7 linked regions of the Macaca mulatta genome follow. The protein of the gene in region 1 interacts with the protein of each later gene in a pairwise test. Links are inferred from orthologs where the notes say so. Each region holds a gene or a part of one and is shown in the gene's direction. Other genes may lie near its edges.

Evidence for each region.
Region 2: the proteins of FAM9B (region 1) and SYT17 interact in binary tests that used the Homo sapiens proteins (3 or more experiments, as listed by UniProt). The two-hybrid records come from large-scale screens. The link is inferred for Macaca mulatta from reciprocal best matches to the Homo sapiens genes FAM9B and SYT17.
Region 3: the proteins of FAM9B (region 1) and CCDC106 interact in binary tests that used the Homo sapiens proteins (3 or more experiments, as listed by UniProt). The two-hybrid records come from large-scale screens. The link is inferred for Macaca mulatta from reciprocal best matches to the Homo sapiens genes FAM9B and CCDC106.
Region 4: the proteins of FAM9B (region 1) and EBNA1BP2 interact in binary tests that used the Homo sapiens proteins (3 or more experiments, as listed by UniProt). The two-hybrid records come from large-scale screens. The link is inferred for Macaca mulatta from reciprocal best matches to the Homo sapiens genes FAM9B and EBNA1BP2.
Region 5: the proteins of FAM9B (region 1) and TRMT61B interact in binary tests that used the Homo sapiens proteins (3 or more experiments, as listed by UniProt). The two-hybrid records come from large-scale screens. The link is inferred for Macaca mulatta from reciprocal best matches to the Homo sapiens genes FAM9B and TRMT61B.
Region 6: the proteins of FAM9B (region 1) and GFOD1 interact in binary tests that used the Homo sapiens proteins (3 or more experiments, as listed by UniProt). The two-hybrid records come from large-scale screens. The link is inferred for Macaca mulatta from reciprocal best matches to the Homo sapiens genes FAM9B and GFOD1.
Region 7: the proteins of FAM9B (region 1) and FASTKD3 interact in binary tests that used the Homo sapiens proteins (3 or more experiments, as listed by UniProt). The two-hybrid records come from large-scale screens. The link is inferred for Macaca mulatta from reciprocal best matches to the Homo sapiens genes FAM9B and FASTKD3.

The regions. Positions count from the first base shown.
Region 1 is NC_133426.1:8,568,769-8,572,695, reverse strand, and holds the start of FAM9B (protein FAM9B), read left to right. Parts: upstream 1-1,127; 5' UTR 1,128-1,394; intron 1,395-2,151; 5' UTR 2,152-2,240; coding exon 2,241-2,268; intron 2,269-2,768; coding exon 2,769-2,889; intron 2,890-3,068; coding exon 3,069-3,100; intron 3,101-3,927. UniProt on the Homo sapiens protein: May play a role in meiosis.
Region 2 is NC_133425.1:19,195,347-19,199,628, forward strand, and holds the start of SYT17 (synaptotagmin-17), read left to right. Parts: upstream 1-1,482; 5' UTR 1,483-1,850; coding exon 1,851-1,865; exon of another isoform or gene 1,866-1,876; intron 1,877-4,282. UniProt on the Homo sapiens protein: Plays a role in dendrite formation by melanocytes.
Region 3 is NC_133424.1:67,997,172-68,001,415, forward strand, and holds the start of CCDC106 (coiled-coil domain-containing protein 106), read left to right. Parts: upstream 1-1,444; 5' UTR 1,445-1,697; exon of another isoform or gene 1,698-2,353; 5' UTR 2,354-2,454; coding exon 2,455-2,485; intron 2,486-2,615; coding exon 2,616-2,720; intron 2,721-2,816; coding exon 2,817-2,993; intron 2,994-4,244. UniProt on the Homo sapiens protein: Promotes the degradation of p53/TP53 protein and inhibits its transactivity.
Region 4 is NC_133406.1:197,485,695-197,489,968, forward strand, and holds the start of EBNA1BP2 (putative rRNA-processing protein EBP2), read left to right. Parts: upstream 1-1,474; 5' UTR 1,475-1,516; intron 1,517-1,654; 5' UTR 1,655-1,677; coding exon 1,678-1,743; intron 1,744-1,826; coding exon 1,827-1,910; intron 1,911-2,144; coding exon 2,145-2,317; intron 2,318-2,917; coding exon 2,918-3,041; intron 3,042-4,274. Other genes in the region: CFAP57 (cilia- and flagella-associated protein 57), read right to left, coding at 906-1,062. UniProt on the Homo sapiens protein: Required for the processing of the 27S pre-rRNA.
Region 5 is NC_133418.1:96,103,817-96,107,819, forward strand, and holds the start of TRMT61B (tRNA (adenine(58)-N(1))-methyltransferase, mitochondrial), read left to right. Parts: upstream 1-1,203; 5' UTR 1,204-1,211; coding exon 1,212-1,910; intron 1,911-4,003.
Region 6 is NC_133409.1:169,624,751-169,628,879, forward strand, and holds the start of GFOD1 (glucose-fructose oxidoreductase domain-containing protein 1), read left to right. Parts: upstream 1-1,329; 5' UTR 1,330-1,445; coding exon 1,446-1,698; intron 1,699-4,129.
Region 7 is NC_133411.1:8,930,441-8,934,487, reverse strand, and holds the start of FASTKD3 (FAST kinase domain-containing protein 3, mitochondrial), read left to right. Parts: upstream 1-1,247; 5' UTR 1,248-1,287; intron 1,288-2,125; 5' UTR 2,126-2,149; coding exon 2,150-3,581; intron 3,582-4,047. UniProt on the Homo sapiens protein: Required for normal mitochondrial respiration. Increases steady-state levels and half-lives of a subset of mature mitochondrial mRNAs MT-ND2, MT-ND3, MT-CYTB, MT-CO2, and MT-ATP8/6.

The DNA.
Region 1 (3,927 bases):
ATATAGACATTTAAGGCTGTGGATTAGTTTTCCTGATGACTGCCTTTATAATTTCTTTTCTTTTCTTTTTTTTTGAGGTGGAGTCTCGCTCTGTCGCCAGGGTTTCACCGTGTTAGTCAGGATGGTCTCGATCTCCTGACCTTGTGATCTGCCCGTCTCAGCCTCCCAAAGTGCTGGGATATAATTTCAATAATATAATGAAACTCTATATCTTGATTTACAAACTTTAGGCAATATTTATTTACTCCTAACTCCAAAACAACTCTCCCCCTATTATAGGCGACTGGAGGTGGGAAAAAGCTGAGTTAACGATAAGTATTAAGGCATTAATTTGTGGGTGAAGGTTGTGGCATATGTCTGCATAAGTCTGGAGCATGAGGGTTTGTGGGCAAGTCTGGGGCATGAGGATGAGAAAGAAAAGTAGTGAGGAAACAAAAATGGTTATGGGCAGGGCACGGTGGCTCATGCCTGTAATCCTAGCACTTTGGGAGGCCAAGGCGTGCAGATCAACTGAGGTCAGGAGTCCGACACCAGCCTGGACAACATGGTGAAACCTCGTCTCTACTAAAAAAAAAAAAAAAAAAAATTAGCAGGGCTTGGTGTTGGGCTCCTGTAATTCCAGCTCCTTGGGAGGCTGAGGCAGGAGAATCACTTGAACCCGGGAAGCCGAGGTTGCAGTGAGCTGAGATCACCCTGCTGCACTCCAGCCTAGGCGATAGAGTGAGACACAGTCTCAAAAACAAACAAAAACGATAAAAGCACAATCCATTGATTGAAAAGGATGCAGCTGGGCATGTTGGAAGCACACAGGGCATGGGAGGGAGCCTGGGCCCAACCCATAGGATGATGGCCATTCTAGCCAAAGGGGCAGGGGTGGCTGGAAAGAGCCCCAGGGCGAGGTTCTAGGCCCTGTCCACTTGGCCTCCATACCAAGTCCTGTGTCCCTCCCCAGGAGCAGAAGCTGAAAGAATGTGGGAACAGAGGCCCCAAAGGGCCAACCCCACCTCAGTCCACAGCAACCACTTGCTGTCACTTAGGGGAAGGGGGAGGGCGTGCCAGCAGGGGGCGTGGCCCCACACGGCCTGTCACACGCATGTGCACTGAGTCGACCAATCTGCGAGGAGCGTAGGAAGTGCTGTCGGCAGCTCTCACGAGAACTGAGTACTTGTTTTCTTTTTTGTTTTTTGTTTTTTGTTTTTTGTTTTTTGAGACAGTCTGGCTCTTGCCGCCCAGGCTGCAGTGCAGCCGCGCGATCTGGGCTCACTGCAACTTCCGCCTCCCGGGGTCAAGCAATCATCCTGCCTCAGCCTCCTGAGAGGACCCGTTTTCTAAGAGATCCTAGTGGTGCTGTTGTCTGCAGGTTCTTTGAGGGCGCCACATCAGGGGTCCCTCAGGTGAAGCGCTCGCGGTGGGGAGGCGGAAACGCAGGCACGAGGCCCTCTGGGAACCAGGGTGTGAAGCGCTGGGCCGCCCGCTGACCTGTGAGGAAATGCCCCTGGCGTGGTCGCCTGGGGCCTGGGTCAGGGCGAGGCCCTGAGGGTGGGCTGGGGTGGGCCAGGGCAGGGAGGGAGCTGGAGCCGCCTGGGTGATCCCTAGGGCCCAGGAGGGCTTGTGCATGTGTTGGGGGGAGGTGCGGAAGGTGGGGGGAAGTGGGGGTGGGGCGAGGGTGTTGTTGGGGACAGTCTGAGTGGGGCCCTCCTGCCCGGCCTCCCGTCAGGACAGGACACTTGGGGTCATCAGGGGTCCCCTGTGCATCCAGGCGGGTGAGTGACAGTGCAGCCCCTGACATTCCTCTGGAGGTGGCTGGGGAGATCCTGTGTCACCCGGTGGCCCTCCCAGCCACACGGGGTCGCTGGGGGACCCAGAGGTAGGGCTGAGTTCTGTCCCAAAGGTGCGGCGAGGATCCCGCAGACGCCGTGGAGTTCAGGTGTGAGGGGCAGCTGTGAGCTCTGCAGCCAGCCCCGGGGACGGGCTGGACGGGCTGGACGGGCCAGGACAGGAGGGGACACTGGCATCTTTTCGGTCCCCTCCTGCTCCCACAGGAGACCCAGGGCGTGCCAGCCCCACCCTTCTTGAACCTGTGATCCCAATGGCTTTCCTTTCCGATGCCAGGGTTCCTTTGCTTCCTTAGTGTGCCTTTGCCCTCATCAGGTTCAGGGATCACCTGTAGCTTCCCAGGACAGCCAGCCACGGATCCTGTGGGCAGGAGGGCTGCCAAGGCCCAGTTGGAGGCTCAATTTATGGCGGCCCAGGGGAAGGAGCGTGCAGGTAAATACAGCCCAAGGTGACCCGGAAGAAAGTGCACGCCCAAGAGGACGGTCTGTCTGCTTTCTGCGCTGGGGGCACAGGGGTAGCCCAAGGACCCGGGCCCCTTCGTGGCTTTGGAGTCCATCGTGCACGTGCTAAGATGCCCCAGGTTTTCAAAGCAGGCTCAAGGGCCTTAGGCTTCCCGTGAAAGGCTCCCCTCATAGCGGGGTTACAGATGCTCCCAGAGCAGCTCTTCTCCATGAGTGCAGTCATGACATCCAAGGGGTCTGACGTGTAGTATGTTGTTTACTGGGACTTGAACCCGAAGGGCTTCCAAAAGTGCCTTGATAAAATGGTCAGAAGCCGGTGATTCCATGTACAGCTCTGCTTTAAAGCCTTAATTGGCAGATAGCCAAAAAAAAAAAAAAAAAAAAAGTCTACAACAAGTACATTTCTCCACAAAAAAAGTCCACAACAGTGTCTTCCTCTAAAAAAGGTTTGTCTTTTAAATTTTAATGCAGGAAAGGATCCAGTCAGTGACGAATGTGAGGAAAGAAACCCTTTTACAGAAACAAGGGAGGAAGATGTAACTGATGAGCATGGGGAAAGAGAACCTTTTGCTGAAAAAGACGAGCACACGGGGTAAAGTGTTTAAGTCACTTTTGCCTGTGGGATAGGGTCTTTTAGGAAAAGTCACCTTTGGACCATGTCATCACTGTTCTATTCTGTGCAGAACATTTCACATAAGACATTTCTTTTCCCAACAAACATGGCATTTTGTGTAGTATTATGCTAAAATTTTGATGTAACTTTTTTTACAGGGCTAATACCAAGAAGCCAGAAGATACTGCAGGTATATTTTAGGAGTTATCTGTCGTTTATGAAAATTGTTTTCAATCATGCAACTGTTGCAGTAAGTTATATGAATCAGTGGATGACAAGACTGTCTTAAATGGCTTATCATATGTAGCATTTAACATACGTATTTAATGTAATCTGTTTGATAAATTTTTCTTACCTCTTTGATTGTTGATGTGGAATGTGAGAATGCTTCTAATAATGGTGAAGCGAGATGGATGGCTTTTCTTTCATACACGTGGAAATTTAATTGTTTGGAGAATATTAGAGGACATTGGAGGAGAAACAGCTCTATTCGTTCCTTTTAGTGTACGCAGATTAAGTCATATATCAGGTTTTTTTTAAGCTTTCACTTTAAGTTTGGGGGTACATGTGCAGGTGTGTTATATAGATAAATTGCATGTCACAGGGTTTTGGTATACAGATTATTTTGTCACCCAGGTTATAAGCATAGTACCTGATGGGTGGTTTTTGATCCTCACCCTCCTCCTACCCTCCACTCTCAAGTAGGCCCAGTTGTCTGTTGGTCCCTTCTTCCTGTCCATATGTACTCAGAGTTTTTAATATGAGTTTTTCATGTTCTTAATTTAGCTATTCTATTGTCACAGCTTTCTGATTTTGTTTTATTTGAAGTACAAGAGAAAATTGAATTCTCTAAAATCATTTTCCATTATTATTCCAGTAATAAACTGTGTAGTACAAAAGGACAACTTTTCTATCTAGTGAGAAACATGTAATTGGATCCAAAAACTCATAAACTTTATATTGCTGTGTGAAATATTAGTTGCACTGTTATAGGGACCATATTTTCAAAAAAGTTTG
Region 2 (4,282 bases), on another chromosome or scaffold:
ACCTCCCTCAGGAAGCAGAGTGAATAAGGGCAACAAAAACAATTATTCAGTGCCTACTCTGGCTGGACAGAGTGCTAGCTGATAGGAGTGATCAAGGTACTGCAGGTTGAAATGAAATAATGCTTGTGAAGTGTTGAGGCGTGTATGCCTGCAGAATCATAAGCACTCAATATGCGTTACGTGCTATATGCTACAAACTAAATATATCATACTAAAAAATGTATAGGCCTGCTAGATTTTTAGACAAAAAATATATGCATCTGAATATCCATCTTTTGTTTGTTACTTCCATATTCATTTTCTCATTTATTCCCACAAAACAGCCCTGGAGGATAGGCAGGGTGGAGATTTTCTCCTGTTTTTACTGAGGAAAAAGAGGCACTGGGAGGTTAAAATTAACAGGCTGATAAGCTGCTGCCCAGCAACAGGAGATGACTGGGCATATTAAAAAGAAATCCGGCCCGCACAGTGGCTCACGCCCGTAATCCCAGCATTTTGAGAGGCCGAGGCAGGCAGATCACTTGAGGCCAGGAGTTCGAGGCCAGGCTGGCCCATATGGTGAAACCCTTTCTCTACGAAAAATACAAAATCTAGCGGGCTTGGTGGCGGGCGCCTGTAGTCCCAGCTACTCGGGAGGCTGAGGCACGAGAATTCCTTGAACCTGGGAGGCGCAGGTTGCAGCGAGCCAAGATTACCCCACACCGCACTACAGCCTGTGTGACAGAGTGACACTCTGTGTCTAAAATAAAATAAAATAAAATAAAATAAAATAAAATAAAATAAAAAAATAAATCCAGAGGAGGGCAATGTACCACCTCGAATCTCTGAGTGGAGAGCCAGAGGCCTTGGACTGGGAGGTTTGATGGAGGCCTGTGGGTCCAGGGCGCCCCAGCCACGAGGTCAGGCAGGAGGGCAGCGGTGGACACGCCCCGGGGCGCACGCTCACTGGCGGCCGGCAGCCAGTGGGCAGAGGAGCACACGAGGCCGGGCACGACGCTGGGTGGCGCTGCCGGGCCGCCCTGCACTAGACCTGTTGCGTCCAGGGCGCAACTCCGGCAGGTTTAGAGTAAAGGGGCGCTCCGCTCTCTCCGCGCGCCCCCTGAAGCCCTGGACACAGCACCTCCGTTTGGGACGCCCTATGCCCACCTTAACTTGAGGCTCCCATCCAAGCAACCTCTGCGATCCTCACCGCAACCGTGCTAGGCGCGTCGGGTGGGGCGGGAATAAAGTTTTTCCAACCCAGTTTGGGGAGAGGGCTGGATAGGGAGGACCTTCCCTGCTGCAGACTTCATGGCAGGCTGCACTGTGTCCCCTCCGCTCCACGGCTGCCCCGGGGGCCCTGCTTTCGGTAGGTGCCAGCCCCCTTTCCAGCAGGATGGGCTGACCTGTGTACCGCCCCCTCCCACCCCCTTCTCCATCCCCATCCCCTCCCCCGCCTCCCGCGCGCTCGGGCCCCAGCGTCTCCGGCCCCGCCTGCGCTGGGGTCGCTGCAGTCCCCGCGGCTGCCCCGGGCTCCTTGCCCAGGCGCCCGGGCCTTATTCCAGCCTGGGGAGCACCTCGGGGGGGAGCACGGGACAGCGAGGGAGACCGAGGCGGGGGCCCTGGGCAACCCATCTCTCCGAACCGGGGAGGCGGCCCCGATTCCGAGAGCCGGAACGCAGGGAAAGGCAAGGACGGGGCGGCCGGCGGAGGGGCGGGCGCCGCTCATCAGCCACTCCAGTCACGTCTGGGGCCACCGGCTGCTTTTTTCTTCCTTTCCCCCTTTGCTTTCTTCCCCCTCCGCTGTTGGCGAGGGCAAAGTGGCCGTGGCGGCGCCATGCCCGGGCCGGAGTGAGTGCGCGCGGGCGAAAATGGCGTACATCCAGGTAGGGCTGAGGCTGGGGGCAAGGTCCGGGGTGCGGGTAGGGGGTGCTGCGCCCCCTCCGGCTGGGAGCGCGCGGAAGGGAGGGCCCACGGCTAAGCTCCCACAAACTTGCTTCGAGAAAAAGGATGCCCGTGCGCGGGCAACCCTTGCAGCAACAGGGGTGAGCCCCGGGAGGAGAGACTGGGGACCCCCAAACCCCGGGATGGAGGGTCCTATGTGGACTCTGCAAAGCGCACCCTTGCCTCTTGGGGAGGGAATGGGGGGTGGGGCGGACTTTTCTTCCCCCCCGCCCCTCCCTCTCCTTGGCACCCCACCCCAGGGGAGGGGCCGTGGGGAGGGCTGCCCGGGGCGAGCCGGCAGCCCGGCCCGTCAGCTGCCGTTGCCGTGGTGACGGCTCCGGCTAATTGGCCGGCAGACCGAGCCTGAGGCAGCTGTTCCGACCAGGAGGGACAAGGACGTCGTCTCTCCCGGGCACTGGGTGCTGAGGGGTGGGGGACACCCGGAGGCCAGAGGCGCGCAGGTGGAGAAAAAGGAGGCTGTTACTTTAGTCCGCTGCATTGGGATCTGGGAGATGTGGACCCTCTTCACCTTGAAGAAATGTCCCCCAAGAATCCTTGGGCTGAATTAATTCTGAAATAATTTCTAAGCAGCCTTTTTTGGGGAGAGGGGGCGGAGGGGTGGGCCGGGCTTCTTGATGAAAAGACCTTTCTCCTCTGCAAGAAGGGAAGTGACCGCAGGTCAGCGCCAAGGTCAAGCAGGCAGACTCGCAGTGAGACCCGTTGAGTTGCTTGCTTCTGGTGCTGGCTCCTCTGAGCTGGGCAGAGAAGCTTACAGACTTCCACGTCCAGGGTGCATCTTGGCTCACATCTTGTCCCCTCAGCCACAGCTGGGGGTGCTGCTGGTCCTCCCATTCCCCTCTGGCTCACGTATCGTGTCCTCAGACGCTTCAGCCTGTCGGGAACTCTGTGCTGTGTCACCTGGCGGAGCCTCTTCCATTCGTCTCCTGCCTTCGATTCCCCGGATTGGCTTCCCTTTCGTGGAATCGCCAGTTTCTCTTTTCAAGTTCATTGAAGGTCACATTACTGTCCACCCACTGTGTGCTGAATGTTGTCCAGGGGCTATTCAATAGTCACCCAACACACACTTGGGCGACCGCCTACTAAGTGCTGGCACTGGGGATGCAGTGATGAAAACAGCGCAGTTCCTGCCCCTCTGAGTGCGCAATTTAGTGAGAAATGAACATATTTACTGGCTCCTGGGGTTCTTAATGGCCGCCTTCAGCAGAGAGAAATTAAGTGACTTGCCCAAGGCCACACAGCCGCTTAGGGGTCAAGGTGGGATCTCAAGGGGGGTCGGTGCGAGATATGTTAAGCATCTCATATGACAATGAGCAGAGATGTTGGTTTTCCTTCTAGAACAAGGTGTTAAACTTTTTTTGTCCTGTGAAGTGCCAGATAGTACTTTTTTTCTCTTGGAGGCTCACATGGTCTCTGTCACAACTATTCCACTCTGACTATAGCACCAAAACTGCTATAGACAGTAGTAAATGAGTGGGTGTGGCTGTGTTCCAATAAAACTTTATTTGCAGGCACCAAAATTTGAATTTTGTATACTTTGCCCGAGTCAAGAGGCAGTCATCTTTTTTTTTTTTTTTTTTTTCCCCAACCTTTTAAACTCGTACAAATCATTCTTTGCTCAAGGGCTGTAGCAAAACAGGCTGCGGGGCTGGTTTTGATCTGCGAAGCTTAGTTTGCCAACCTCTGTTTAGAATGCATGGGTTTTCTTTCTTCCTCTTTCTTTCTGATATGAATTGGTTCTCTTCCATCAGTGTCAAACATGGGAACCCAGGAGACCCAATGCCAGAAAGACCGCATGCCTGGGAACGTCAGGGTACCTCTTTCATCTTCTTTGGTTTCTCTCGGTTCCTTGACACTCATCTTGCACCTGGGCTTTGAGAAGGCTGGGAAGGCTGTTTTTCAGCAGGGGCATGAGGTGGCCTTGTCTCTGTTCACTTTGGTTTCATAAATGGCCTCTTTTGACCACCACATGTCTAGGAAATGCTTCCCCATATTCCGAAAATGGTCATGGATTATCATGAAAAAGTATCACTCTATCCTAAACATTCTAAAGCACTTTTTCATGTAAGCCCTATGAGAGTATATTTTGTTGTTTTGTGCCCTGCTGTACCTGCCAGGACAGTACCTGGTGCCTGCTGGGTACCACTATGTCTTGACAATCACCCAATTATCTTCACAGAAAGGGTGCATTTTAATTTTCAACTGGACCGCACGCAAGTATTTGCAGAGTCAGTGTCCTGTCCCACCCTAACAGCACCCCTTTGACGTATAGAGTAGCCTTTCCACTAAAGAAGAGGAAACCGAGGCTCGGAGAGGCCCCCTGACTTGTGCGAGTCACGTG
Region 3 (4,244 bases), on another chromosome or scaffold:
GCGATTCTCCTGCTTCAGCCCCCCAAGTAATTAGGGTTACAAGCATGTGCCACCATGCCCGGCTAATTTTGTACCTTTAGTAGAGATGGGTTTCACTACGTTGGCCAGGCTGGTCTCGAACTCCTGACCTCAGGTGATCCACACACCTCAGCCTCCCTCAGGACCCTGGGCCTGGAAACAAAAGTTTCTTTACCATAGTTAGCTTTAGTATGTGTAGATTTTTTTTCATTAGCTATTATTATTTGAGATGGAGTCTCGCAGTGTCGCCCAGGCTGGAGCAGTGGTGCAATCTCCACTCACTGCAACCTCCACCTCCCTGGTTCAAGCGATTCTCCTGCCTCAGCCTCCTGAGTAGCTGGGATTACAGGCACGCACCACCACGCCCAGCTACATATTTTTTTAAACTGCTGATTTCATCCTATTCTATTGAATTCTCCACCCATGAACCTATAGTTTGGAAAAGACTAATCTAGGGCAGGTGGCTCCCCCTGGAATTTCTGGACCAGGCTGCAGTTTATTTGTAAAGTGAAGTGGGGAGGGGAGGATCATGGGTACAGCTTTGCAGGCGGTGCAGACGTTTAGATTCTCCCTCCATCGGGTTAAGACCTTGCTCTCCTAAGGGCTGGCCAGAGTCCAGAGCATGGATGCTTCTGGTGAACAGGAGAGGCAGGTGGAGCTGAGCCTGAAGCTAAATAAACATCTGCTTATTAATTCATTTTTCTTGCCTGTCTGTGCCAGGCACTGTGCTAGGCCTCATTTGCTCTTCCGACCTCTTTTTTTTGGGAGGAAGAACAAATCTTCCGTTCGTACTCCCCAGAGTGGGAAAGGAAAGAGCCTCCCAGAGGTTGCGATCATACCCCACCATCTGACCTCAAATAATACCAGCAACGCTCCTCTCTCAAGCCCTGACTATGGCCAGGTGCTGGGCTGAGCTGTGTGTCCCATCACTGTGTCCTCACAAGAAATGTAGAGGGGCCTGTAATTTCCCCATTTTACAGGTGAGTTAACAGGCTGGGGAGGAGCAGGAACAGTCAGGACTGGAATCTAGCTCTGTTCCAAAGCCAGCTCTTAATTACCAACATGGGGGGGTGGTGGCGTGTTCCTGCCCCTCGTTTTTCTGGAGAGGGGTAACTCCCCCCATTTTGGCCCCCACATCCCTGAGAACCTTGGGGTCTGGCTGTAGGAGGTGGGGGAGCTCTGGGGGGTCTGCGCTGGCTAGTTCCTGAGATCGTTAAAAGTAGATTCTCCTTTCGCTCCAACTTTCCCGGTGTCTCACACACTCCTGCCTTCTCCTGGGCCCACTGGGCCCACCGCCACCCAACCCGGGAACCCCCGGAGGCTCGCCAGCTCTCCAGAATGGGAATTTCTTGACGTTCCCTGCCTGAGCTTCGGGGAGGGCGGGGGAGTGCCGTAAGGGGCTATCGCGCAAGTGTAGACCCTCTGCTTCTGCCGCAAACGGCGGGCCTCACCTGGACCAGGGGACTCTCCAACGAGGGGCGCTAGTCTGGCCCGACTGGGCGAATCCCCGCGTCCGTACCCGTTCCGTCGCTCAGTTCCACGACTCGCTCCCCTGCCGCCCCGCCTGTTCGCGGGTGGGTGGGCGCTTCCCTCGGCTTCCCGTGACACTTTGCAGACGCTCCCCGGCGCCGGGCATGGGCGCCGCCGCCGTCGGTCCCCGAGTCGGATTCCGCGCGCGGGTGGGTGAGCGCGGGGGGCCTCGGCCCCTCGGACCCCGGGCACCCGCGGGCGGGGGATGGTGACCGTATTTGCACCCCCGCCCTGATGCATTCCCCCGCTGGGATCTTTCCACGACTGCTCCCCCTCCCACCCCCGGGACAAAGGGCGGGGGCGGCGCATCCCCACGCGTGACCTTTCCCCGTACTGCGCACGCGCCCAGCCCCCACCACCGGGGGAGGGTCCGCACGCCCACGCGAGTGCGGGGGAGGGGTGTGGGGCCCCGGAGGTAGGGGAGGCAGCGCGCACGGGCTGGACCTCCTCCTACCCTGGGAAGTTGGGGCAGTTTCCCTCTGCACCTGCCTCTTCCTTAGGCCTGGCGGTGGCCCGCGATGAGAGTCCTTCCCCTTCAGGCCAGGTGTCCCTGTCAGGCGACCCCTTGGGGCACCCAGCAATTTAGGGCTTCAGCTTCCTTTTCCTTCGATACCCAGGAGCCCACGTCCCCAGCTCACTTCTCCCCTAGGACCTCGGTGGCTGGGCCCCCTGTCCCTGACTCTGGGAACCCAGGAGTTTGAAGCCCAGGCGTGTTTTGCCTCAGTCCTGGGGTCTGGGCTCCCTCCTCCCTCAGACCAGGGATCCAGGCCAGAAGGTCCTTCCTGTCTCACTTCACCTCCCCCAGGATGGACCCTCGAGTCCATCCGCGTCCCTCCATTTGTGGCTGCTGTTTCTGTCCAGTGCCCCTGAGGCCCTCGGCTGCTGGGGTCCGCAGGAAGCCACGCCATGAATGACCGGAGCAGCCGGAGGCGAACAAGTGAGGAAGCTGGGTCCCCTTCCCTACCCTGGGTCCCGGTGCGGTCGGTCGGCTCCAGGCTGCCGTGGTTGGGGGGTGGTCTGAGGGGCCCGGGACTTCTCTGGGGTGACCCGGGGCCTCTCCTCTCCAGTGAAGGACGATGAGACCTTCGAGATCTCCATCCCCTTCGACGAGGCGCCCCACCTAGACTCACAGATCTTTTACAGTCTGAGCCCCTCTCGGGGAAACTTCGAGGGTGAGCCGAGGGGGCGTGGAGGGACTGGAGTCAGCTGGGAAGCCAGGCCGAGTCCCAGGGTGTGACCTGGTCCCCCCACCCTCGCTGTGTCCCTAGAGCCTCCGGAGGCTGCGTCCCCCGCCCTGGCTTTGATGAACAGCGTCAAGGCCCAGCTGCACATGGCTCTGGAGAGGAACTCCTGGCTGCAGAAGCGCATCGAGGACCTGGAGGAAGAGAGGGACTTCCTGCGGTGCCAGCTGGACAAATTCATCTCTTCTGCTCGGATGGAGGCAGGTATGTGTGGGGTGCTCTGATCCACCTGCCTCCCTGTCCCGCTACTGGGTACCCGCTCACCCAGACTCGAGGCTCCACAGTTTGCCTGGCTGGGTGGGACCTGCCATGTTGGCCCTCTCTGCTAGTCCCCTGCCTGTTTTGGGCCCCCAGGCCCAGCTTCCTCTTCACTTGATGTCCAGGACCTCATCCCCATGAACTGTCTACTGGGGCCTGTCCTCCTGCTTTTTCCTTCAGCTCCCCAAATCCCATCAGCCTCCAGTGCCCTGCCATCTGCTTCCTTGGCCTATGGTGACTTCAGGACCCTGGAACCTGAGAGTCCCTCTCTTCTGACTCCTAGGGGGACCTTCCTTCATCTCTTTGGCCGAGAGGCCCACCCTAGTCCTTTGGGTTTCCTCAGGGGGCCCCTGATCCTCTTCCTGGCCCTGTCTTCTCCAAGATCCAAGAGTCCAGCCATCCAGCCTCCTCCTGTCCCCCCCCGTCCCCGTGTGACACCAGGGGCCATCTTCCCACCCACCCTGTCCCATCCTTGGTTAATGAGTTCTCCTTCCTCATGAAAGACATTAAGGCTCTTCCTGTGTGGGCCTTTTTGGGTGGGGACCCCAGCAGGTGCTGTTCCTCAAACCCTGCCCCAGGTTCCTGGGCAGTCCCCGCCCACATACCTTGCTCTGCTATAATTCATGGCCAGAAGCAGCCGGGAGAGCTCCCATAGCAGCCCCCAGCCCCAGCCAGTTCACAGCTAGCATCTTCTCTTGACTGGTGGGACCCTGTGTCCTGCTTAACACATTTTGGACCCCAGCCGCATCCTCTTCCCCAGATGGTCAGGCCCTTTGCCAGACAGCCCATGTCCTGGAGAACCCACACTTTACCCCACCTACCCTCAGCTCGGCCTTGCTAGCTCCTTGGCTGAGAAGACCCCTCAAAAACTCCCACATCTCTCTTTGTGAATTCAACCTTTTCCCTCAAAAACTTGGGCAAGGGGCCTATGGTCTCGTGGTGTCTGTTACTGGGAACCCAGCATCTGGGGATCTGGCCTTCCCTCTGCTCTGGAACAAACCGCCTCTGACTGCCCTTGCCTGCCACTGTCTCCTCCCACTGATGGCTCCATGCTGGGTGACTGACTCCTTTGCACAGATGGTTTGGTCCTGCGGCCTCGGCACTTTCCCAGTGGGGACCCTGGCACCAGACCCCTCTCCTAAGCCGCCTTCTAGAGGACCCTGTGTCTGGGCCTCCGCCAGCCAGCTCCCTCTGTCT
Region 4 (4,274 bases), on another chromosome or scaffold:
AGAGAATCTGCACAAATAGACGAATGTATACGCATGCAAGAATGTTTATAGTAGTATAGTTTGTAATAGCATATGATTGTTATTTCCCAAATGTCCCTCAACACTAGAGTGAATACATATATTTGAGACATTATATTCATATGATGGAACACTACATAGCAATACAATGAACTTGGTTATATGTATCAAGATGCATGAATCTCAAAAGCATGATGTTGAACTGATGCAGCAGGACACGGAATACAGGGAGAAGCCCTAGAATTGGTAATATTCTATTTCCTATGCTGGTGGCTGGGTTCACAGAGCTACATTCTATTGTAATTCTTTAAATATTACATATATGTAGGGTACATTCTTTCGTGTGTCTATGTCACAATAAAAGGTGTCAATGCAACAAAAAATGGGAAAATGGATTCGGTTGTTGAAATCATGAATATCATCAACAGGACCACTGTGAACAAAAATAAGGGCTGTAATGTTATACAAATGGTTATTTGCAACTTGGGATAAAGTTTACAGTGTCTTCATCATACATGGATTCAAAAGGTGATGTAATGAAGGTGGCGTGCTCAGGAAAACTGTGTCAGACAACTCAAAAAGGGGCTCTGGTAATGACAAAGGCAATGATATTGAAGATACCAAAAGAGGGATTCTTAACATATTTTCCTGAAATTACAGTGAAAAAAGCACTTTTAAATTAACATTTTATATGTGATTTTAACTACGTATGCATGACTGATTAATCTAGTTTCATAATACAAGTCGCCATTTATTTCCTCTACCTTTATAATACTGCATATATATTCAAATTGGCCAAAATCTTTCTTTCCAATCATCATGCTGGGATTATGGGGTTATATGTGGCACATACCATTCCTGTATGTCAGGATGGAAAGGGTTTTTACCTGGAATGAATTTTTGCCATTTCTGATCCACATTGTACTTCACACAGTGATTTCCTGAAGGAAATATAATGATCTGTTCATCGAAGTAGAAGATATTGTTGGCCACGTGGGATCGAAGACCAAAAACATGCAGCGTCTGAGCTACCACGGCCGACATGATCTCCCGCCAAAGAGTTCTGCTGAACCACCAAGGCGGTGTTTCAGAGTGGAGAGCGTTGCCCTGCTCCGCCCCGACCCCGCCCCCGGCCCAGACACGCCCCGCCCAGCATCTAGGACACGCCCTCCCCGCTCCTTGCCCCTCCCCTTCCCCCTCCCCTTTCCCCTCCCCCGGGGTCCTCCTGCGCGCCACCGCATCCCCGCGTCTCCTTTTTCTGCCTTTTCCTTTGTACCCTCACTGCTACCAGCTCCTTCTGGCGACCCCCAGGTACCCGCTCCCACCTTTCACTTCTCTCTGGGTCAGCAGACCACGCATGTATCCACAGGCACTACCTGTGCGGATCCTAAGCAACCCGGGCACTTTCAAACGCCGTAGCGGTTCCTATAGCAACGACAAACCGGAAGTATGGTTTGCCGCCGGAAGCGGAAGCCCAATCAAAAGTTTAGCAGTAGCTGTGAGTTGCTGGCCCTGGTGCGACTCTGTGGCACGTGGAGCCACGGCCTGGGACTAGGGGGCTGAAGGCAGGCAGCGGCGGCCAGGGCCGCCCTCTGCTAGCCGCTTGGGTCTCGGGATACCCCGCTTCTTCTTGTAGGTGTGGGACGTGCGTGCGGCGAGATGGACACTCCTCCGCTCTCGGATTCGGAGTCGGAATCCGATGAATCTCTTGTCACAGACAGAGAGGTAAGTCTCAGCAGAGCTCGCGGGGCTGGGCATGGGAGAGGGGGTCTTACACCCCTGGGAGTGACCGTGATTGTGTCCTGCAGTTGCAGGATGCGTTTTCCCGAGGGCTTCTGAAGCCAGGCCTCAATGTCGTGCTAGAGGGGCCGAAGAAGGCCGTGAACGACGCGGTGAGCGCGGGCACAGGGTCGGGGGTACTCGGACTTGGGATGCGCACCAGCCGCTGTTGGGCTTGGGAGACCGATTCTTGTCCCAGGAAAGATGCACCCTGAGCCTTGCCAAGAGGGTCTATTACCTGTCTGCGTATTGGGGATTAGCGCTTTGTCCCTTTGCCTAACAGCCTGTGCTTGGGAAGAACAAACTCAGAGTCCCCTTCTTATGAGCTCAGTGTCTGGATTTCCTAGAATGGCCTGAAGCAATGTTTGGCAGAATTCAAGCGGGATCTGGAATGGGTTGAAAGACTCGATGTGACACTGGGTCCGGTGCCAGAAATCGGTGGATCTGAGGCGCCAACACCTCAGAACAAGGACCAGAAAGCTGTTGATCCAGAAGACGACTTCCAGCGAGAGATGAGTTTGTATGTTTTCAAATGTTGGAGAAGTTGAGGATCCTTGTGCAGGAGAGTGGGAAAGGGGAAATTAGTAAGCCTGCACTCAGAATAAGCTTAGGGGTAGGGAGAGCAGCTTCTTTTGACTAAGAGTAGCTAGGAGATTCTCGCTGTTTGAGAGGAGAGCTCCTTGGTCCACAGTCACGATTCAAAGTCCAGTTTAGGGACTAATTTGAAATATTCATGTTAAAGCTTTTTGTGCATGCTTCAGTTAAAAAAAAAAACAACAAAAAAAACCTTGCTTATGGGATGTTCTTGTGTGGAATTGCTTTAGTAATTACGTAAGAATCCATAATCGACATTAGTTTGTGTTAATGGGTACCTTTAGAGTAGTCATTCTCTTAAAACTATTTTTAGCAATACCCCTCCCCTTTTTAAAAACTGGTATATGTCTACATTTCTTTTAGATACTAAATCAGTGAGGTTTGGTGACAGTTTTTGTTTGTTCTTGCTAATGGAGGTCAGATTTTGAGAGTCCTTCTGAGCTTGGATAACTCATGAGAGGCAGTGAAAAGGAACGTAAGGCCTCTCTCCTTCACCTCATTACACATTTTGTCCCACAATTCTCAGCTACCGCCAAGCCCAGGCCGCAGTGCTTGCAGTCTTACCCCGCCTCCATCAGCTCAAAGTCCCTACCAAGCGACCCGCTGATTATTTTGCAGAAATGGCCAAGTCTGATCTGCAGATGCAGAAGGTAAGAAATAGAAATATTCCTCTGGAAAGCCAAAATTTTGTACTTAAGCATATTCAGCTGGCTTAGAAAGATAGCTGTGAGCCCAATAATGGGGAGCCAGTTGTCAGAGGACAATTATTACCTCTTCCATAGATTGACTACTTCAGAGTCATGCCAGTTACCACCAATTAGATGCATATGACATTTTTTCTAAAATCAGCAATTAAGGAGAGGAACAGTGCTGTGAGAAGTGTAGTCCTTGAGGTGAAGATGGCCCATTGCATTTCCTAGCTGGCTTGGTCATGGCATGGTGTGCAGAGAAGACAGCATTCTTGTGCCCTTGCCACTGGTAGTGCTAGAACTTGTAGACAATTACTTTTCTCTGGGCCTCAGTTTTCTCCTCTATAAAATGAGGGATTCTCAGATGGTTCAGATACAGTACAATTTAGAGTTGGGTAGAACTTGGACCTCATTTAACTTTGAAGGAGGGGATTGCCAGCATGTAACCAAGATATACTCAGCCCTCCATAGCCATGGGTTCAGCATCTGTGGATTCAGCCAACCTCAGATCAAAAATATTTGAGAAAAAAATTTGAAAATGTTGGAAAAAGAAAACTTGAATTTGCCATGTGCTGAGAACATTGAATCTGTGAGAATGACATGATGCGTAGCATTGAATTCAGTATTATAAGTAATCTAGAGACTATTTAAAGCAGTGGTCTGGCAACAGGGACCGGTTTCGTGGATGACAATTTTTTCATGAACTGGGGGAGGGGATAGTTCCGGGATGAAACTGTTCCACCTCAGATCATCAGGCATTAGATTCTCATAAGGAGCACACAACCTAAATCCTTTGCATGCTTTCACAGTAGAGTTCGGGCTCCTATGAGAATTTAATGCAGCCGCTGATCTGACAGGAGGTGGAGCTCAGGTGGTAACGCTCGCTTGCCTGCCACTCACTTCCTGCTGTGTGGCCTGGTTCCTAACAGGCCACAGATTCATAGCAGGTTCATGGCAGTCTGTGGCCCAGGAGTTGAGGTCCCCTGACTTTATACTGGAGGCGAGTGTAGGTTATATGCAAACGCTACACCATTTTTATATAAGGGACTTGAGCATCTGTGGATTTTGATGTCTGTAGTGGGTCCTAGAACTTATCCTCTATGGATACTGAGGAATGAGTATATTTAAATAGTATCCTGGGGTCTCAAACTGGATTTTAGGGAGCTTTTGTCATGGTAGTAGTTCACCTTCTCA
Region 5 (4,003 bases), on another chromosome or scaffold:
CAAGAGATTCTCCTGCCTCAGCCTCCCGAGTAGCTGGGATTACAGGTGCGTGCCACCACGCCCAGCTAATTTTTGTATTTTTAGTAGAGACGGGGTTTCACCGTGTTGACCAGGCTGGTTCCGAACTCCTGACTTCAAATGAGCCGCTTGCCTCGGCTTCCCAAAATGCGGGGAGGCTAGTGATATTTAACGTTAAATAACTTTGGCCTCCAAAGATACCTGTTTCCATTTTAAGACACTTCTATTTAGTTTTGGGAGGGTAAACTAGTTATATTTTAATAATGAAAACATCTGTTACATAAGCACATAGTGAGTACTCTAATCGACCTTCTCGGACTCTCCGGGCGTGAGGGGTGGGTGAGGGGACCGGCAGGCTGTCACAGCCCCTTCAAAAGGGACTTGGGGCTGGGAGATGTCGCAGTCAACTGGGAAAGGAGAGCCAATCAGCAACTGGAGCGTCCCACGCCGTTTGTCAAATGCATCTCCGGATTAGCTCTACTCATACGTATATCTTGGGGGTGACTAGGTGATGTCCGTGTTCAAGACACTAGCGTGCTAAGCCTGGCATTTCAGTTTGCACAGCGCTGTAAGTTTTGTCTCAATCTTCCTGACCGCCAGCGAACCTGGAGGACGTCTGCTAGCGGTAAATTTATTTATTTATTTATTTATTTATTTATTTATTTATTTATTTATTTTGAGACGGAGTTTCCCCTTGTTGCCCGGGCTGGAGTCCAACTGCGCGATCTCGGCTCACCGCAACCTCTGCCTCCCAGGTTCACGCGATTCTCCTGCCTCGGCCTCTCTAGTAGCTGGGATTACAGGCATGTGCCACCACGCCTGCCTAATTTTGTATTTTTAGTAGAGACGTGGTTTCTCCAGTTGGTCAGACTGGTCTCGAACTCCGGACCTCAGGTGATCCGCCCGCCTTGGCCTCCCAAAGTGCTGGGATTACAGGCTTGAGCCACCGCGCCCGGCCAGCGGTAAATTATTTACCCACATTCCGAAAAGGAAAACGGGCGCCCGCGCGCAAGGACATACTCCTTGATGGTTACTCAACCAGAACGCCGCTGCTCCGGCGCCACTGCTTGACCTAGCGCACCGCCCCCTCCGACGCGGGCGCCGTCGGGCTGCTGCGCCATGCGCGCGACAGGGAAAGGAGGGGTCGCGCTAGGTTGCGTCACTCGTCTGCGACGGCGCCTGCGCGAAACACCATGCTGATGGCAAGGTGCAGCGGTCCTGTCTTGCTCTGCCTGCGGCAGGGACTCGGTACCAATTCATTCTTGCGCGGCCTAGGGCAAGAGCCCTTCGAAGGAGCTCAGTCACTGTGTTGCAGGTCCTCGCCTAGAGACCTGCGAGACGGAGAAAGAGAGCACGAGGCGGCACAAAGGAAAGCCCCAGGAGCAGAGTCTTGCCCATCTCTCCCTCTGAGCATCTCGGACATTGGGACCGGATGTCTTTCGTCACTGGAAAACCTCAGACTGCCTACTCCGCGGGAAGAGTCATCCCCTCGAGAGCGCGAGGACTCGAGTGGAGACCAGGGCCGGTGCGGTCCGGCACACCAGATATCCGAGGATCCTTCGATGCTCTCGCAGGCCCAGTCTGCTACCGAGATCGAAGAGCCTCACGTCTCCCCTTCTTGTTCAACTTCCAGACAGAGACCCTTTCAGGTTGGGGAACTGATTTTAGCTGAGACTGAGAAGAGAGAAACACAATTTAAGAAATTATTTAGATTGAACAAAGTTGGACTCTTAAATAGTAGCTGGGGGGCAGTCCCGTTCAGCAAGATCGTGGGCAAGTTTCCCGGCCAGATACTGAGGAGTTCCTTGGGTAAGCAGTTCACGCTGAGGAGGCCAGCATTGGAAGACTATGTATTATTGATGAAAAGAGGGACTGCCGTAACAGTCCCAAAGGTAATGTGATGGAGATAAGGTGTGTATTGTTTCCAGGAGGAGCAAAGACAGATGCAGTACTCAGTCCTGATTAATGTACTCAAAGCATATCTCAGAACGTTTGGATTTTTTATTGTACTCAGGCTTTTAAGATAAACCAATGGATATAACTTTTACATATCATGATGAAAATTAGCATTAGGAAACGCCCAGATTTTAATTTTAACTTGGGAGTCTCGATTCCCTTTTTTGTAAAATGTGGATAATATTTCAACTTTCTGTTAGGGTGATGTGAACTCATTAGGTACATAGTAAGTACTAATTTTGTTCCCCATTACTCTTAAGTTTACAACTTCAGGACTCAAGAGAATGTTGAACTCTTAGGGAACAAATTTTTAGTACTACTATGATGATATTTTAATAATATTTAATAATCATGTTACAAGAGTATATTTTATCAACAGTAGATACATTACGGTGCTTTTTCCTTTAGGGAAGAAATAGAGTTTTATGTTAAAATAGCTAACATTCAACACCAAACATAAAATGACGTCTTTATTAAAAAGTTAACTGCCTAAAGCCTAGTTTCAGTTTTTTTTTTTTTTTTTGAGACAGGTTCTCACCGTGTCATTCAGGCTGGAGTGAAATGTTGCGATCTTGGCTCACTGCAACCTCTGCCTCCCAGGTTCAAGCGATTCTCCCACCACAGCCCCCTGAGTACCTGGGACTACAGGCATGCGCCACCACCCCGGGCTAATTTTTGTAGAGACGGGGGCGGGGCGGGGGGCGGCAGGGGTTTCACCTTTTTGCCCAGGCTGGTCTTCAACTCCTGGCCTCAAGTGATCCGCCCACCTCTGCCTCCCAGTGCTGGGATTACAGGCGGGAGCCACTGCGCCCAGCCCTAGTTTGAAGTTTATGCTAATCATCTATTGCTAGCAGATTATTTCAATCCTTAGTCACAGTCACAGTCCTTGAGTAGAATGTTCCTGTGTAACACAACTCCTCCTTTCTCCAGATCAGGATTCGTTCATTATTTATTCAGCAAATGATTGACTGCCTTACATACTCAAGGCACTATTTAGGGAAGTATAGTGTTGAACTGCAGTCCTCACTCTCAACATAGACCTTACATTCTAGAAGGGGTGACAAAGAACAAACAAGTAAATGAAAGAATAAGGTCATTTCCAGTAGTATTAAGTGTCATGAAGACAAATACATTAACAATGACATTGGGATGACCTGGGGTACGAGCATACTTTATGTCAGGTGAGTAGAGATGGTCTCCAAGGAGGTACACTTGATAGGAAACCTAAATAAGGAAGAGCTTGCCTTGTAAAGATCTAGGATAAGAATTGTTCTTGCAAAGGGAGGAATACTGCAGAGTTTCTGTTGTGGCCTCTGGGTCAGATGAGGGTCCCTCTATGGGGTGTGGTTTGAGTATTTTATTCCATTTGTAGTGAAGGACCATTAGAAGTTTCTGAGTAGGAATCCAGTCTGTATTTTAAACGGTCTACCCAGGGACTAAGAAAACTTTCCTCAGAAGCTTAGGCTACTGAGGTATAATAAGCTTTTTTTTTAAAGACAGGGTCTTGCTATATCACCCAGGCTAGAGTGCAGTGGCTCAATCACCTCTTACTGTAGCCTCAACCTCCCGGGCTCCAACAATTCTCACACCTCAACCTCTTGAGTAGCTGGGACCACAGGTGTATGCCACTATAGCTAATCAAAAAAAAATTTTTTTTTAGTGTTGGGGTCACCCTAACTTGCCCAGACTGGTCTCAAACTTCTCTAGGCTCAAGGGATCCTCCCTTGAGGGTGCCGGGATTACAGGTGAGAATGACCGCTCCTGGCCATGGTATCGTAAGCTCTTGAAGAAAACCAAAGACTTTTGTAATTTTATCTTGCTTCCCCATGTCTCCTTTCTCCCCATTAGACAAAATGAAGAAAGATTAGTTACATTTCATGAAGTTATAAATAGGCATCCTTAGTGTACTTTCTGCCTTTCCATTTGTTACAGATATAAGTCACATTGTTCTACTCTAAGGAGGAATTTAAGTACTAAATTTGTTAGGTGTTGACTTCTCTTTATAGCTTCCAAGTAGTAGCTGGAGATA
Region 6 (4,129 bases), on another chromosome or scaffold:
TGTCTGGGAAGAAGGCGGCTGAACCGTGCGTGCGCGGCCGGAGCGGGGGCGCGCGATTGGAGCAGGCTAGCTTGGAAGGGGACCGGAGAAGTCTGCGGTTCCATGCCCAGACTCTGGGGCCTGGATTCCAATCGCAGGCCTGTTGCTTACATATGTCACCTTGCGCAAGTCCCTTAGCCTTCACTGGGACTCATTTACATCACTGGTAAAATGGGTTTCCAATAACCTTAGGTTGCTGCGAGGACTAAAAGGGACAATGCCTGGAAAGGCTTCAGTATGATGCTCAGCACGCAGGTAACGCTCCGGGGACCGAGGTTGTTAATACCGGCTGTTCGCACCTCGCCGGGTCCCCTCACTGCCCCCAGGCCAAGGCGCCCACTGCTCTCTTCCAAGGGACAGGCGACTAACCTATTGGGGCGCGCCCTGCCTAGATAGATTTATTTGCTTGCTTGGGGCGGGGTTTGGAGTGAAGCAGGGAGGAGAAGAAGATGGTGAGGGCAAAGAAAGGGAAGAAGCGGAGGGGCAGGAGGCGAGCGAGGCGGGGCCGGGGAGGAGCCGGGCTGGGCTCCCAGGGCCCCGGCGCAGCGCGCACCCGGAGCTGGCGGCGGCGGGGGCGGGGGCGGCGCGCGGCGGCCAATGGCGCGCGGCGCTGCGGTGAGGGCGGTGCAGGAACACCGGCCGCTGACAGCCAAACTCGCCAACTCCGCCCTCGTCCCCGCGGGATCCCGGAGCCTGAGCCGGCCTGGGGCCGAGGCCGCCCGAGCCGCGAGGCGAGCGAACATGGCAGCAAAATGAGGAGGCTGGCGCCGGGTCGTGGCAGCCGCTGCAGCGCTGCAGCTTGAGATCCCCGTCCGGCGCGCTCCGGGCCGCATCCTTAGCCGGCCTCCTGGCGGTCGCGGGATTATTTCATTCCGAGCGGAGGGCGAGGGATAAAGGAGACTCCCCAGCGGAGCGGGTCCGTGCCCAGACTCTGGGGCAGGGTGTAGACGTTTGTGTGTGCGATTCGCCGGCTGCGCAAACGACGCGGGAGAGAGACGGTCCCGGGCTGCGGCGGCGCGGCCGCGGGGATGAGCCGGCCATGGAGCGGCCTTGGCTGGGCGCACGCAGCGGACTGGCGCTGCCGCCCGAACGCCGCCTGAGCCGGGGCTCCAGGGGGCTTCGAAGCCTCCGGCGCCCTGGGGGGGTCCCTGTCGCCGACTCCGGGAAGGACGCAAGCCCCGCGTGGCGGACACTGCCGCAGTCACCGTACTGAGGCGCCCCGAGCTTGCTCCGCCTGCAGCTCGGTGCGCGCTGGGCACCCGGGCGCCTTGCCCGGTGCACGGCGGCTGGCGCACAGCGGCTAGATTGGCTGCAGGAGCCGGGTGCAGGACTAGCTGGAGGTGGGTGTGTGCGCGTGTTGGACTGGAGATCCGAGTAGAAGCAGAACCAGGCGGCTCTGAGCAGCCATGCTTCCCGGGGTGGGCGTGTTCGGCACCAGCCTCACGGCCCGTGTCATCATCCCGCTGCTAAAAGACGAGGGCTTCGCGGTGAAGGCGCTGTGGGGCCGCACGCAGGAAGAAGCGGAGGAGCTGGCCAAGGAGATGAGTGTCCCCTTCTACACTAGCCGCATTGATGAGGTGCTGCTACATCAGGACGTGGACTTGGTGTGCATTAACCTGCCGCCGCCTCTCACCAGACAGATCGCTGTCAAAACCCTAGGTGAGCGACCCCTACCCTGAATCCTCCGTCCCACACCCGCCCTTTAACCTTCCCTGGGTTCCTTCCCCGCTGCCTTTCCCTTTCCGTGTCCCAGAAGCTTACCCTGCATCTACGCTGCCCCAGGGATCTGAGATCCCAGATCCGACTCAGAGCTCCCTCCTTCCTTGTCCCGGGCCTTCCCCACCTTTGCACTTCCCTCCTGCCTCCTGGCACCACTTGGACGCGCTTCCCCACGTGTGTGGCTGGCAGGCTGGAGGAGGAGTGTGTTCCGGGGATCCGAACTAGGAAGATCAGATGCCGATATCAGGGGATGGGGTGCTCCGCAAGAAGAGGAAAGTTAGTCCTCAGCTGTGTGTGTCGTGTACGTGTGTGTGTGAGTGTGTGTGTGTGTGTGCGCGCGCGCGCCTGGGAGACGCGAGTGCGCGCCCAGAAACGCCTGAATAAAGGGCCGCACACGTGTCTCGGGGTTCTTGGGTTCGACAGAGGACCTGCCCTTCAGCAACTGTGGCGCCCTGTTGGGGTCGTTTGTTTCTTTCTACTGTGAGTTAGTTTAGCGTGACATTGGAGGTGTGACCATCGGCTGGAATTATTTCGTCTGCGCTGGAGGCAAGGATGATGGGAGTGGTTGGATGGGGGTGATGATTTAGAATGTTTTCAGAAGCGTCATAGGTTAGTAAAGACTGATTTGATAAAACCAGGGGTTTTAACTTTTGAATGCAGCCTTCCGGGAAATGTCTTCTGCCACAGTTTGGAGTAATCGATTTTAAATTTTTACGGGGATGGGCGCAGTAGCTCCAGAGGCATGGACGCTTTGCATCAGAAAAGGCCCTCGCTAATCGCCTTCAGGAATAGTTTCTGAAGGCACAGTGTTGACCCGCGGGGGCCGGAGATGAGTTCAGGGTGCCTCACCATCTGGTCCCTGCTCCCCTCAACTCCCAGGCAGTCTGAACAATCTCTGAGCACAGAGTAGCAACCTCTTAGCCCATGCTCAGGGGAAAGAGAAGGGCATGTTTTGTTCATCATCAGTTCTTACATATAACCTAAAACAATCCCAGGAAGCTTGCTTGATCTTACAATTCCAAGAAAATTAGCAGCTCACCTTTGAAAGCTGAAGTTTCTATTGGTGAGGAAAACACAAAGCTTATAACAAGAACAAAGCTTATAACCAGATGAAGCGAATAGTAGAACAGATTAGAAGGGAGGAACTGCCAAGGAACAGAGACCATCCAGAAACCAACCGGAAGTTATGTAGTCTTGGAAAGACTGTTTTATTTTTTAAAAATAGGTGTGGATTCAGGGTGGGTGAAATATATATATGTGTTTTAATTCTGCCTTCGAAGAGCTCTGAACAGAATGTAGAAACTCTCCATAGAAAGGCATTTTTATCAGGCCATTTGGCTGTTGACTCAGATGCGACATCTGATGGAATTCCTAAGGAGGCTGCTCACATTGTCAGTTTTAATTGTCAGTTAATTTTATTAAGTGTCTGCCCTTTGTGGCCTGTTTCTTTGGCCTTGAACTGAATGCCATTGAGTCTGGCCAATATTTATTTTCTGTTTGATGGAACATGTGTATTGGGTGGATAACTCCCTGGTTTACATTGGCTATTTGCATATTAAATATTTTATAACCATCTTGTGGTATAATTCTATTGGTGCAGTTTGTACAAAACTGGTCCCTCATGAGCCCTGGGTATACTGGAGAGCTTAGGACTGGTCATATCTGAAAGACCATGTTGTAACTTCGTTTCTCCACCATAGAGATGGTGGTTCCTGTCCTGGGTACAGACCCACAGAGCAAACCTAGAGCAGGAGGGTGGCGATTTGGGGAACAAGGATGACCTTGTTTTCTGGCTGTCTCTGGGAAGTTGGCCATGAAAGTATCTGGGGGCTCTGGTTTCAAGAGATGTGACACAAATTAGACATTTCTGGATACTTCTTCTGTTCTTATTTTTCAAATATCCCTGTGACTTTTCTTTAATTAACAAGACATGTCTGTTATCTCTTCAAAGCCAATGATAAGAGGCATAATAGACCTAGTTGAATAATGGTGATGACAGAATAGGGTTTTGTTCATGTTTTTAGGGTAGGTTTTGAGCTTCTTTCTTCTTTCTTTTTTTAACTCCTTCTTTTGCAGGCTGCCCCTGCGAGTGCACAGTGGGGTGGTCGTCTTCGTTTGCTTTACAGTCACTATTGAAGGTTCAACACATACAACACAGGAAGTGAAAAACCCCAAACAGTTACCAGGCTGGTCTGGCTGTTGGGAGTGTATAGATACGAGTGTTTGCCTGGACTCTGACTTGTCCGAGTAAATTGTCCTTTTAGCAAAGTCCTGGACTTTGGCTTGCTTGCCCAGTAATGGTGACAGGTCTGTGACTCTTGATCCACACTGATAACTGGTCACAGGCCTGTCAAAGTAAGGGGCTGGTCTA
Region 7 (4,047 bases), on another chromosome or scaffold:
AAACTAATCATAGTACTAAAGGTAACTGAAGCACATCAGTTACCTTTTTTGTATTTAATGGAAATCAAAAATACGTGAGTGTATGGGCATATTACATACAGGTGCATATAAAGAAAAAATACTTCCAATCCACTTAAAACATTTTACTAACACATGTTTTTCCTGAAGAGATAAGTAGCAGTAACACAAACGATACTCACAGATTTTTTTTTCCTTACTCATCTAATGGCTAAAACTGGTGGGCTGTCAATTTGTGGAGACAGATTTAAACTGAAACCCAAACCAAAATATTGGCTTTTCGTGAATGAACCGCCCAGAACGGCACCTGGCACAAAACAGGTACTCGACAAGTTATCTGAAAGAGTAAATGAACAATATGAAAACACTACACGTTTACAGCTCACAGAAAACGGCGGAAACGATGATGAAAATCTTACTACAGCTAAAATTTCTATCACTTCCCATGAAACACACACATCCTGAGGACTTCCCAGGATCAATCAACCCCTCAGCCCTGCTACTGCGCCACAACCCGGCACCACGTTCCCACTACTCTCAAAGGAGGCCGGAGCCCCAGCAGCCCCAGGGGCGGCGCGGAGGCGGTGGGCAGAGCTCACTGCCGCGTCCCGCCAGGTGGGCTCTCGGAAAATCCCCGGTTCCCCGGAGAGCGCCGCCCCAACCCGACACGTTCCCCCGTTCCCCGCGTCCCCGAGTGCGGTTTCCCTAGTCCTAGAAAGTGCCTGGAACCAAAGGCAGAACAGGCGGAGAGGCCCCACACCACCCAGGAGCCCCCGCGCGCAGAGATCGACGCCGATCTCCGGGACGCGCTTCCGGGGAAACCAAGGCCAAGGCCAAGCCCCAGCCCGAGGCCGAGCCCGCCCCCGCGGCGACCCCCGGAGCTCGAGGGGTGTGGGAACCATGGGCGCAAGCCGGCTGCCTCCCCCGCTCCCCGGCCCGGGCCGCCGTTCCCTCGGGATTAGTACGGGGCCAGCGGCCGGAATCCGGAAACCGTAGCCACCAGCGCTTTTACCTGCGCCGCGCCACCCGAAGACACACCTGCACAGCGCGACTTCCACCAACGCTGCGCCCGTGCGCACTGCCGTAGTGCCCATGCTCCGTACCTAGGACCAATAGGAAGTTCCGAAGGGGACCTGGACCAATCACATTGCGCGGCTGTGAGTCGTGCTCCCGCCCCGCCCCGCCCTGCCCCGCCCCGCGTTTACTACGGTGGCCCACGACGCCCAGGCGCTTCCGCGGCCACCCGGAGTGATTGGCGGGCGGAGGGCGGTAGGTGTCCACGCGGTCTCTCCGGCTGGGTGTCACAGACCTTATCGGCTTTCTCCTCAGGCTGCGCCACCCTGCCCGTGTCTCAGCGCAGGTCCCCGGGGCGCCGAGTTTTGGGGGTGCTCGGCCCGCGGGTCCCTTTCATTCCTAGGAAGACGCGCCCCGGGGCATCACGCCTGTCTGTCCTGCACACTCGTGTTCCCAAATCCTCCCGCGGCGTCTTTAGATCTGGACCGGCCGCCACACCTTCTCCCTTCATTGGTCTATGTTGTGCTTTTTCTTTTCCTACTTTGTTTCCATTGCCGACGTAGACCCTTTCCCTCAACCCTGTCTCCTGACACCGAGGGGAAACCAACAGCTTAGGGCCTTTCCAGCGCGTTTTTACTCTTGCCTTGCTCTAACCTCGCGTAATTTCATCCACTTTACCTATTCTTTGTTTGATTTCTATTCAAATGCAATTTCTTCCTTCAACCAACATTTAAGGGCCACCCTTAAGAGCTACATTGCCTGAGTTTGAACCTTAGCTCTGCCACTTAACCACCTGCATAAACTGGGCAAAGTAACTTTGCTCTTCAACTTCTACCTCATGTAAAATGATGGTAAAGGTACTTAATCTGTGTAAGTTAATAGAAAGTGTTTAGCAAGTAGTAACGATTGTTACTGTTGGATGTCAGCCACTTTTCTAATTCTAGGATGCAGAGACCTTGCTCCTCTGGTGTTTATATGTTATCCATCCTTTTTTTTTTTTTTTCCTGGTACTCGTTTGTAGTTTCAACATTGATGTTGGGTCAATCATGTTCTCAATGTATTTAACCTTGTCTTTTTAAATGTTTTAATTTAGTTATCAAATTGAGAATCTGATGGCATGGCATTAATCACCTTGAGGAAGAACCTTTATCGTTTATCTGATTTTCGGATGCATGGAGCTGCTTTGAAAAGTCAACCTCTAAATCGTGTTCACAAGGTAGTCAAGGAGCGCCTGTGCCCTTGGTTCTGTTCACGACAACCTGAGCCTTTCAGGATCAGGTTCCATCATGCCCATTGTAAAAAGTTTAATTCGAAAAATGGAAATGACCTTCATCCACTCAGTGGGCCAGTATTCTCTCAAATATCTGACTGGGTCAGGCTTGAACAAAATGTTAAAAATGGGGAGAGTCAGACGTTTTACAAGAGACTGAGCAACTTGACTTCATCAGAAGAAGTGCTAAGTTTTATAAGCACGATGGAAACCCTGCCTGACACTATGGCAGCAGGAGCTTTACAACGAATTTGTGAAGTGGAAAAAAAGGATGGTGATCAAGGGTTGCCAAAAGAAATACTGGAGAATAGCATCTTTCAAGCTTTATGCTTTCAGTTGGAAAAGGAACCCTCACAGCTGTCAAACACTACTTTGGTGACTGCTTTGCAAGCTCTGATTCTGTTGCATGTGGATCCTCAAAGTAGCCTGTTACTGAACCTGGTGGCAGAATGCCAAAATCGTCTCAAAAAAGGTGGCCTGGAAGTTCCCAATCTTTGTGTTCTTGGGGAGAGTCTGATTAGACTGCACAGTTCGGGTTGTGTGACACTAGAACTGATTATAAATCAACTGCAAGGTGAAAAATTGGAAACATTTACCCCAGAGGATATTGTGGCCCTTTATAGAATCTTGCAGGCATGTGCTGAAAAAGTGGATGAACACCAAACATTTTTAAATAAGATAAACAACTTTTCCCCTTCAATAGTTTCCAACCTGAGTCCTAAATTGATTAGCCAAATGCTCACTGCCCTGGTGGTTCTTGATCAAAGTCAAGCATTTCCTCTGATCATAAAATTGGGCAGATATGTCGTGAGACATGTCCCATATTTCACTAACGAGGAGCTTAGGAGAGTCTTGGAGGCGTTCATGTATTTTGGGTACCATGACAGATTTTTTACAAAAGCCCTAGAGAATCGTGTAGCTGCGGTGTGCCTCACGTTGGATCCTGAAGTTGTCTGCGGAGTCATGGAGTACTGCGGTAGAAAACGGATTCTTTCAAAACCCATCCTCAATGCAGTGGCAGAAACTTTTGTTTGCCAATCAGAAAAATTTTCACCTAGTCAGATTTCTGCATTAATGGAACCATTTGGGAAACTCAATTATTTGCCACCAAATGCCTCTGCTTTATTTAGAAAGCTGGAAAATGTGCTATTCACTCATTTCGATTATTTTCCACCTGAAACATTATTGAAACTTCTTCATTCATGTTCACTGAATGAATGCCATCCAGTCAACTTTATGGCAAAAATATTCAACCCTTTTTTCCTTCAACGGCTGCAAGGTGAGTTGGTTATAAATTCTGACAGTTGGAAAAAGTTAACCTTTGAATTGGCAGTGGTTTCAAGTCACATATAAAGGCAGTGTGTTGCCTTTAGTTTTTCTTCCATAGTGATCTGAAGATGAGACCTGAAATTGACAGATGCTGGCATAAACACAGAGTTAAAGCATGCTAGGAACTCGTATAAAGGGAGGAAAGCTGTCTCAGATAAACTGACTTTTGCCTTATCTGAGAAATTGCAGCATTCTTAGGAGATACAGTGATGGTAGTGGAAATAGCCACATTAACATGTTAGAACTTTTGATGAGTGAGCAACTGTATTTTTTTTTTTTTTTTTTTTTTTTTTGAGAGGATGGCATCGTTCATCTCGAACCAAGGCCACCCACATATTTCCGGAACTCCATAGTTAAAGGAAATTTCCACTAATTCTGTGAACATATTTTCTTTCTTTTAATTGTACTCGGTAGCT